2 linked regions of the Caenorhabditis elegans genome follow. The protein of the gene in region 1 interacts with the protein of each later gene in a pairwise test. Each region holds a gene or a part of one and is shown on either strand. Other genes may lie near its edges. The genes, in order: gakh-1 and F45D3.2.

Region 1 (5,373 bases):
CCATATCATCAATAATAGGGTATGGCTGGAAACCTGGCTCATCCGAGCTCAATGTGCAATTTACAACTTGGAGGCAATTTCCAGTTATTGGCTTACACTTTATTTTATAGTAAATCTCGTCGTCAAGAGATGCTCCTGAAATTTTTGAACTTTTTGAAACAATAACAGAGGCTGTTTGACAGACATTGTATATGTTTGTAGTTTTTTACAAACTTCTTTTTTTTTTAAATTCAAATTTGTTATTTTCTGAAACTTTTTTCAAACACCAGAACTAAAGCATACCTGAAACAACTTGTCCATAAGGTCCCTTTTTGTGAATCGAAAAGTCGCACGTTATACTATTATCAACAGTTTTCGACAACAAGTTCGGTTTTTGTTTTGACTTATAGATGGATAGCGTGGGCGCTAGAACGCTAAGAAAAAGTATGAATACGAGAAGTTGGTTGGACATTTGTATGCTGGATCGATTCATTCCATTCTGGAGATACCCCGATACAAGTAGGTCATTGCGTTCGGAACAATGTGTTCTTCTTGATTTATTACTTTTCGTAGACGATAAAACATTTGAATTTTTTGATGTACAAGTTAAGAAGTAAGCATAATTTAGGATACATTTTATTTACAGAGAAACAAAAAAATGAAGGAATGAGGATGGATTTTTTTCTGAAAGATTTATAAAATGAGTATTGAAGAGAAGAAGATACTCGTTATAAGTACATTTCCATCTTTCAATTATTGGCAAAATTCGTACAAAACATTCACAGGACGGGAAAGAAAGTGAAAATATGATAAATAACTATAATTTTTGAACTACTTTACTATTTTAATCTATTTCTTGGTTGACATTTTCATCATATCGCTGACCATATCATCCAGGCTGGCAGAAGAGGATGACGAACCAATTCCGTTTTTTGAAACATCGACTTTGGTCAAGTTCTTGTTCTCCACTTGGCGTATTGGTTGTAAAACTGAAAAAGGAAAAAGGAAATGAGATTTGAAAAGAGGATATCATTTGGTTTGGGCTGATTCCTTTGATGAATCATTTAGTGATTCATGAAGAGGAGGTTGTAACAAAATGAATACATAGCAAATGATAACTGCGTAGAGGAACAAACCGTACCAGCTTGAGAAGATTCGGCGGAAGGTGTCGTGTGTCGGAGCATCAGGTCGTCAAAGTCAAACAAGTCTCGTGAAGATTGGGATCGTACCTCTGGTTTGTGCTCAGCTGAAGACAAATTATTTTTAACATAGGGAAATATATTGGAAATTATTCGTAGCTGCTCAAAAACATATAATGTTGTCAGACACTTGCAAAATTTTCACAGAAAAGCTTTCAATATATTCAGAATGTTTGGGAGAAAGTTTCCAAGTTTTGACAGGAAGTAGCCTTATTGCCTTCATCTAAGCACCGTACAAATCATCAAAAATTTTAATCTGGTTTGAAGGTCCCCTTTTAAATGACATAGGATTCGTTTGGAATTCAATTGCTGTTCAATTGCTTTCCGCAGTTTTCAGTGTCCTAAATCTTACCAGTTCCTGGCCAATTCTGTAAGGATAACAGATCTTCGCTATGTTTTGCAGACAAATTGTGTGATGCTGACTCGCTAAACGGATCGAATACGTCTTTTTTCGAAACATTCACCGCTGGCGGTGCTTGACTAAAGTCTCCCCAATCGTTTGCAGAATCATTCTGAGAACTATCAGTCGGCCATGAAACTTTGAATGTTGCAACTGGGGCTGCACGAGGGCTTGCTGTTGTGGGTGGTCTCGGTGGTGCGTTTTCTGAAAATATACTGGCATTAGAGAAGTTTCAATCAATTCATTCACTCACTCTCTTGCTGTTGATTTGATCTATGTGTTTTTGGCACAAGCTTCGGAGATGTTGAAGGGTGCCCGGGGCGTGGTGTAGTATTTGTTGGCTCCATTCCCCATCCCATTTTATTCGTCTGCTGTACAACTGTATTTTTGAGTGATGTCAAATTGGAAAATAGTTTGTCCTGCATTGTAAAGAATCCTTTTGCAGCTTGCGATTCGATACTTTGCTCCGCTTGTACCGGTTGAACATTCATCAGATCGAGTATATCCGTGAAATCAGTTTTTGCAGCTAGTTTTGGTTGTTTCTGCATTGCTAGTTTCATGTATTCCTCAATTTTTGCAGCAGTAATTCGTTCATCCGGATTGGGTGTCAGACACTTTGCTGTAAGTTGGGTTTATATTTCTTTATTTATTATTTTTACGCCCAGCAGAAAACTCCTTACCAATTAAATCTGCAAACGCTGATAACTGGTTTTGCTGAACCGGTGGTGGCTTCTTGTACTTTCCGTTGATAATTGCCAGCGCTGATCCATCAAATGGATGCTCTCCAAACGCAACAAAATAGATCAAACACCCCATTGCCCAGTTGTCTTGTTGTTTTCCGATAGGCCAATTTGAGTAGACATCACAAACTTCTGGGGATCGGGTGATAGGTGTTGTGTATTTGAACATCTGAAAATTAGATTTCAATTTCATTTAAAATTTATTTCGGAATGACCTCTTCCTGAACCGCTAATCTTTCGGAATTTGATAGTGGTGCCATCTCGATGGACTTTGTTGTAGCACTTCCAAAATCGCATAGTTTTAGTTTTCCTGAAAAATAGTTTTAGCTAAAATCAGCAACGAAAGACCAACCATTTCCGTTTATAAGCAAATTTTCTGCTTTGATATCTCGGTGGATGGCGCCGACGGAATGCAAATATACTAGGGCTCTTGTTGTAAAGTAGATTATGCGAACGACAAAGTCAATTGAGACTTCTTTGTACTTGAGAAGCACATCCGCAATTGAAACTGAAATAAAATTTAGTTATATACATTAAATTGTATGTACATTAAAGGTGGAGTACCATAATCGGAGACTTTGCTTTTTTAGACCCAAAATGGCCCAAAACTATCCAGTTTTGTAATGAGACATTCTGAAAATTGAAAAAAAACTGACTGAAAAACATCTCAATCAACGAATCAACAAGTAATAAATTAGTAATAACAAATTACACAAAATTCGGTAGGTTTGGGCCATTTTGCGTCTTTTTTCAGACAAAATCGCCGATTTCTTTCGGTACTCCACTTTAACAATATACTTTTTGAGAGTGAGTTTGCAACAAAAAAAATTCAACCCACATTTGCAATATTCCATTGATATTTTGTACTCTTTCACGGACCGATTTGAACTTCTGCTTTCAGCTGACGCATCAAACAGTTGAATAATATTTTCGTGTTGGAGCTTCTTCATCATATCAATTTCATTATCAATATCCTTCGTCGCGGCTGCATCGTGGCTCAGCATGATCTTCACGGCGACTTGTTTTCCCTTGGTGTTGGTCGCAAGAAACACCGTTCCAAAACCGCCTGCAAAACATAAGCTCTCTTCGAAAATTGTCATTTATGGCCACTAACCTTTGGCTATTACCTTTTCCACTCGATAATTGTTTCCGTTAATGCTGAATGTCTGACCACGATCGTAGAGCTCACTCTGCTCACTGATTCCTGCGCCTCGACCGACAGATTGAATCACACCAAGAGCGCGGGCAAATGCCATCTTGGAAATTGCAGATTTATAGTAGAATGAGTGCATTAAAAATAATAAAATGTGATAGTTTTATGAGCGGTGCATCAATATGAAAAAGGAAAAAAATATATGAAAAAGTATAAGACCAGGGATAAAAATGTACAATTTACAATTTAATTCAAAGGTCTCAGGTGGTATCTATAACATAATTTTTTTCAAAATTAAGAATTGGACTTATGAAGAACATTCTTTTCTCAATTTACATATCTTGCTTCTCAAAAATTATTCTAAATTTGCAAATGATGTTTTTACACGTTTCAATCAATAAGAAATACGCTTAAGCCTTCCTATCTTTAAAGCTTCATCTGCATAGAATATAAAGTACACATTTCCATTAGCGCAAGACTAACGGCAAGAAATTCACATTATTTGTCAGGAATAGGATAGATTCCATCTCGCATCTACTGAAATGTACTCTCGTGGTCGAAAAATCCTGAGAGAAGCGGAGTATTTGGGCAGCAGCAGCGAAAGTGGGGTGTCGGTTGGCAACGGAGGATGTGTTGTTGGCAAAATTGAGCTAATTTGCTTGGAGCGAGTTTGAAGAAAGCCAATAATTTAAATGATCATTGATCAAAAATAATTGATGTTAAAAAAAAAGTAGAAACTAACACAATGTTCTTCAATTTTAAATAGAAAAGTTCATATCACATCTATTGCTTTTTTAATCGTTGCGAAAATTTTCAATGTTTTGTTGAACAAGACAATTAAAACTTTCTTTTATAAGAAAACGGGTTAAAGGTTTCATTTAATTTTTACAGCAAACTGAAAATTTTTTGCAATGACAAAAAACGATTTTTTTCAGTGCAAAACTTATTGTTTGTCAGTGCAGCATTTATTGCAAGACTGTGAATGTTAGTGTACTGATTTCTGTTTAAAAATAAATTCACGTTGTAATAAATTAGGAAAATCAATGAAAAAACGCAAATGTTGCATACAATGCGCCCTTTTTTGGTGTGGGGGAACGCACACGAAACGCGCCAAGTGGTGGCTGCTGACGCATTTGCTACCTCACAACATGTAACAACGTGGAACCAGTTGCAGCTCTCGTAAAAACAAACATCTTTTGTGATTTTTCGCTCAACCAGTTTTACCGAAAACTTTATGTAACATTACTTTTATCTTTTTTTGCGTTTTTTCTGTAGTCTTTCGATTATCTTCAACTTCTAATGTATTTTAAATCATAATTCATTCATAAAAATGGTTGAATTCAATGGCACCTACTTGGCAGGTGGTGATACTCGGGAGCGGTGATATACTCTCTTTCTCCTTCCTTTTCGAGAGTGTCATTTCTATTTTCAAACCACAACCACCACATCAGCTCGCGTGCGGCTGCGACGCGGTCTCTCTACATTTCGTGTGCCTCCTCTTCCTCCATTTGCCCCTTTCGGTTCAGTTCCCCTTCTTTTCTCGTCGCTTATGTTTTCGTTTTCATTTGTCCGGAGAAAACCTGTTTAGGAAAGAGTCGTTCACATAAACGCCCGTCACTTATGCCCGTTGACATCCAAACTCTTACTTTTGAACCGCTTTTTTCAACCAGTTTAAGGTTTTTTCCCTAGCTTAGTTTTTACACAACTGTAGCGGAAGTGATAAAGAATAATTTCCATTCTCTATTGTACATTACTCATTTACCCAATGACTTCGCTGTACTATTTCCGCAAGTTCAGTATCAATTCTGTGTATACGATGACGTGACGCGGTGTATTCATTGCCAGTGTATTCAGCGAAAGCTGACGTCTTTTTGTCAAACTTTAAAAACAAAATAGATAACC
Region 2 (4,716 bases), on another chromosome or scaffold:
CCTATTTTAAATATTCAAAATAGCCTAAAATTGATTTACCAACTTATAAATTGTTGCTGTCTTATCACACTTCTATTTAAAATGCTGTTGAATCAAATTCAAACAGTAAAGTGCTTTTACCGGACACCCACGTTCTATTTTTGAGTTGTTTAGCTACTTATTTCATCAGGCACATTTTTGTTTGCTTAGGAATAACTGTACTTCATAAGTCATATTTCTGAAAAGCACTTGCAAACGTTGTAAGTTCACTGTAAATTTTGTTTATGCTTTGAACAACTACAGTCTTCATCTAAACTTCGAAGGTCATTCTCTGAAAATGTGACATTCTGCTGAAAGACTTCCGCATCCCCCATTGCCCTTTTTTATTTTCCTAAAAACTGGGTAACTGATCAATGAAAGTGCAAAACGGAAACTGGAAATGAGAGAAAAATGACGTGAACTTGTCGAAAACAACTCAAAAGTCTAAGCCACATGATTTAAAATAGTACGGTACTTGATGTGTTATTTTTTTCTGAAAACTACATTTGGATGAACTTATCAATTTGCAGAATGTTTATTCATATTTGTTTGTACAGATTGATTATTTTTAGAATTTAAACGTTTAATTTTTACAAAAAAATGTTAATCATTTGAAAGGCTGGGCAATGTTGTGAGAATTACATTGAGACGTTTGGAAATGAAGGTTTAAGCTTAAAACAGGAAATACAAAGTTGGAAAATATGAAACGGACATAAAATATTAAAGCATTGAAGTTTTGTTCAAAAACATTAAAATTAAATTTTCCTCTTTGACCATCCAAAAGAAACAGTTCTAGTCAAAGAGAAAAAAAAGAGAAGAGCAAAAAATGGAACGGGGAGACGAAAAATGCACACGCAACGGTTGATCCTTGAGACGTAATAGTGAGTAGTTTTTGAGAGCAAAATAGGGGCTATTTCAACGGGGAAAACTGTAACCTATCCATATTGAGTAAAATTGAACTTAGAGTAAAAGCTGGTTGAAAACGAAAAAGAAGTGGATAGGTATAAATAATGAGAGCTAAACGTTCTACTCTGCAGCTACAAGTTCCTGACGCACAGTTTCCTTGACCAAATCATCAAGTGAAAGGCCTTGTTGTTTTTGACAAAAAGCTTTTTTCTCCTCATCGGTTTTATCGTCGAGTTGAAAAGCTTCAATGCACATACATGCGACTGCCGCTTGGATTCCTTGAAGCATGACTAGTTGTGAACGGGGCTTCTGCTGAAAATAAAAAGAGTTTAAAAAATGTATTTCAAATTTCAAAGAGTGTGCAAATTGAAATTTTATTGAACAATTTAAACTTAATGACAGATCAAATAAAAATCAAATACTTTACTTTCACACCAGAGCTGCGTTTTTAAAATTAATTTTCTAAAACAAAAATTGGTTGTAAAATATGCAGTTCTGTCAAGCACGACAATATCATTAAAATGTGAAAAAAGTAGAAGAATAGAGAGAAGATTTCGATTTAAACTATTAAGAAAAGGAAGAATCGAAAAACTACTAACTTGTGTACCTGATACTTTGGGTAGTGGCGGAATGGCGAATCTGGTCCGACCTCGTCTGGAAGGTCTTCGTCTCGAATAAGACGGCGAAGTGGGCCACTTGCGCTGACTTCTGGCTCTAATTTTTGAAGGGGCATGGATTTGAGCACTGAAATTTAGAATTGTAAATTTAAATTTATAAAATTTGAATATACGACTTACATTCTTGAGTTTTTCTTCTAACAAGATCCTCTTCCTCTTTTGTTACTTGAATTGGTCGAACTTTATTTGGATGCACATCTGCATCATCATCTTCTACTAATGTTCGGAGCACAGATGTAGTTATAGAGCTTGATGAGGGAGACGAATTCGAGGAACATGTAATGGTACTTGTTGTAATTGGAAGTGATGGTTCCATCTTTCTTGTTCTCTTTCGTCGTTTCTCTTGATCTTTTCCGTGTTGCAAAGTGGCAGCGCTTGAAAATGCTCTTGGGCGTCCATCAGCTGCTAATCCAGCAGTAAATTGGTTAACTGGTGAGTTCATTGCAGCTTGAACATCTTTTTGTTGTTGATAAAGGGCTGAGTTGATAAGTCCCAATGATTCGATTGTTGAGTGTGGTGGAAGATTCAAGTATGGCAAAGTAGACAAAAGTGGGAATCCAGTGAACAGGCCAGGATAGGCACCTAGGGAAAGCATTGAAAGTGCTGTCATATCGTTGATTGGAGGAAAAATACATGAAGATGTAGAAGTAGATGCCGATAAATCACTGCTTGATGCAGATGATGGTTTGCTCTGAAATAATGAGATTTTGATTTATATTTTGCATATTTGATTTAAAACTTACAGTTACTGGGTTAAGAGTCAAATCATGTGGCAAGGCAGCAATAAGAGCCTGAAGCTCAGCGCTTCCAAGCTGGGAAGTCAGTTGGTCCATTTCTTATTCTTTTGAATGCAAGGGAAAAGAAGATATCCCTGAAAATATTCGAACGTTTTTCAAATGTCACTGTAATCGTTTAGGAATTAGAAAAATAGGAAAAGGAGGAACAGACTAGTGAATCAAAACGACAAATCGCAGTGTCGAAAACAAAAAGGACAAGGGAATCTGGAGGCAAAGTGCAGAATTTCGGCGGCGGCGGCGCCCGCAAGTGTACTGAAACTGGAGATTCATCTCTGAGCGAATGTGATCAAGTTTTGATGGAAAAATGTCGGAAGTCTAACAAAAAATTTCAGCTTCAGTCTCTGCCAAACAGGGAATTCGAGGGAAAAAGTGGTGAACCGGTGTCCTCAACAATACACAGACCACGCACACACACACACACGTCTATTCTATTCTATTTTGTCACTTTTCCTTCTATTTTTTCTTACTTTCCCTTCTAGCTTTGTCGTTGTTTTTTTCCCGGTTTACTCTCACTCTCCACACTCACATATGAAAAACAAGAAGTGCTTTAGAGACAGACAGGCGTGCGCAATTGGTTCCAAAAAGGATATGAAGGTGCCCTTCATGGTATATAAACGATGATGATCATGACAAAAACTGGAAACTGAAAAGGTGAAGTCAAGTGTACTTCAACTGAACTTTTTGCTTAAACTAATAATTTTCAAGATGCCAAAATGAGGATTTAAGGAAGATCGGATGCCAATTTTAGGGTTAGACGGATAAATGAGGGATTCGATGTCTTAAAAAACAATCAGTGACTCAAATGCACTTTTACAAAAATGAACTGATATGAATAGAACTTTGCGTGAAAGCGTAAAACGATTTGATAAGCTTCCTGACAACTGTGACCAAAAAAATGACAAGCCAAAACGTGAGTAGCATGGCAATGAGTGACTGACGTCCTGGCATCTCGACAGAAGGCTCCGCCCACTTACGCTCTCGGAAAGGAAAAAAAGATGAAGAAGGGGGTGGGTGGGGCATTGAGAATGCTAGGAAAAGTGCAAAAGAGGAGGAGAAGAAAGAAGATTATGGAAAGGACTAATAAGATGCGAGCAGCTGAAATTAATGATGTAAAACTAAAAACATTATTGGGCACAGGTTATGCATTGCTCAGATAGTTCATATTAAATTTATCTGCACTTGTTGGCAAATATACAAGAGATAGCAGCTGATTGATATTCTAACTATGGAATATGAAAATTTACTTGAGCACGAAATTGACGTAGTTCTCAGAATAACTGAAACAGACACATGTACCAGACACATGGACACACATCATGAACTTTTTGTTTTGTTTTTATTCTTCAATAACTGTTCTGATCGTGATCACTAAAAGTTCGCTTTTTTGCTATTCATTTCTATTATCTAACTCATTTCTTATCACAAAAAGGCATCATGAAGACGGAAGATAAAAATGTGATTGAGACCAGATCAGATTAGAGAAGCAATAACAAAATAGCAAAAAGTACAAATTGACCACGTCAAGATCTCACATGCAGGTGTTATGTGTTATGTTACATTATGAAGAAAAAATGAGTCAGTATCTATCAGAAAATCTGACTAAGATTAAGCTTGAATAAGGAAGAAAAAGGAAAGGAAAAGGAATGGAGAAGTATGAGAGGTCGACCTTTCAGTCTGGGGATGCCTAGGAGGCCTGGCGCTGCGGGGAAGTGCGAAATAACAAAAGGGCATGTAGAGTATGATGGAGAGATAGACGACACACACATTTTCTCTCCACGCTCAGAAGAAAAAGACGGAAAAAGAAGGACCCGTTACACAAATTGATGTACCCTCTATCTCTTCCTTGGTGGAGACTGGGAACCAAAGTCGATGTGAAAACCTCATGGGAATTTGGCTACTGTATTTGGAAAGAGAATTCTTGTGGTGACGTTAGTGATTGGGTCACAACTAACTAAAAACAAAGATCCAATAAAAACCTTGACATGTTATAAAAAGTTTAATGAAGAAGAGGAATAGAGATGGAAAGTGATTCAAGATTATCGAGAAAAATAAGATCTTTGGCAGTAGAGGCCAACTCTCGTCTTGACAAATTGATGGAGTACTTGCGATCAGAAGAAAGTTGAAAGTCTAACATGAATCATATAAGATTTCGAATAGTTTGCATTTGTGAATTAAAGTTTTGAATAGCGAAAACAATTTGAATAATTTTTTAATTAAATGTTTAGTATGTTTAATCGTCAGTTGTAAGTAAGTGACCATTTGGATTGGGATACTTGATGAATAAATATTTTTGGAGTATAAACAAAATCTTGTAATCT

What was found.
Region 2: the proteins of gakh-1 (region 1) and F45D3.2 interact in a two-hybrid assay, tested with the Caenorhabditis elegans proteins (one large-scale study listed by BioGRID).

Annotation. Positions count from the first base shown.
Region 1 is NC_003284.9:5,781,606-5,786,978, reverse strand, and holds gakh-1 (Protein kinase domain-containing protein), read right to left. Parts: upstream 3,575-5,373; coding exon 3,433-3,574; intron 3,385-3,432; coding exon 3,157-3,384; intron 2,827-3,156; coding exon 2,671-2,826; intron 2,629-2,670; coding exon 2,534-2,628; intron 2,488-2,533; coding exon 2,259-2,487; intron 2,198-2,258; coding exon 1,832-2,197; intron 1,783-1,831; coding exon 1,531-1,782; intron 1,226-1,530; coding exon 1,121-1,225; intron 969-1,120; coding exon 829-968; 3' UTR 524-828; downstream 1-523. Other genes in the region: F46G11.6 (ZP domain-containing protein), read right to left, coding at 1-135, 283-451.
Region 2 is NC_003283.11:12,538,796-12,543,511, reverse strand, and holds F45D3.2 (Homeobox domain-containing protein), read right to left. Parts: upstream 2,474-4,716; 5' UTR 2,435-2,473; coding exon 2,345-2,434; intron 2,293-2,344; coding exon 1,722-2,292; intron 1,669-1,721; coding exon 1,532-1,668; coding exon of another isoform or gene 1,524-1,531; intron 1,237-1,523; coding exon 1,045-1,236; 3' UTR 535-1,044; downstream 1-534.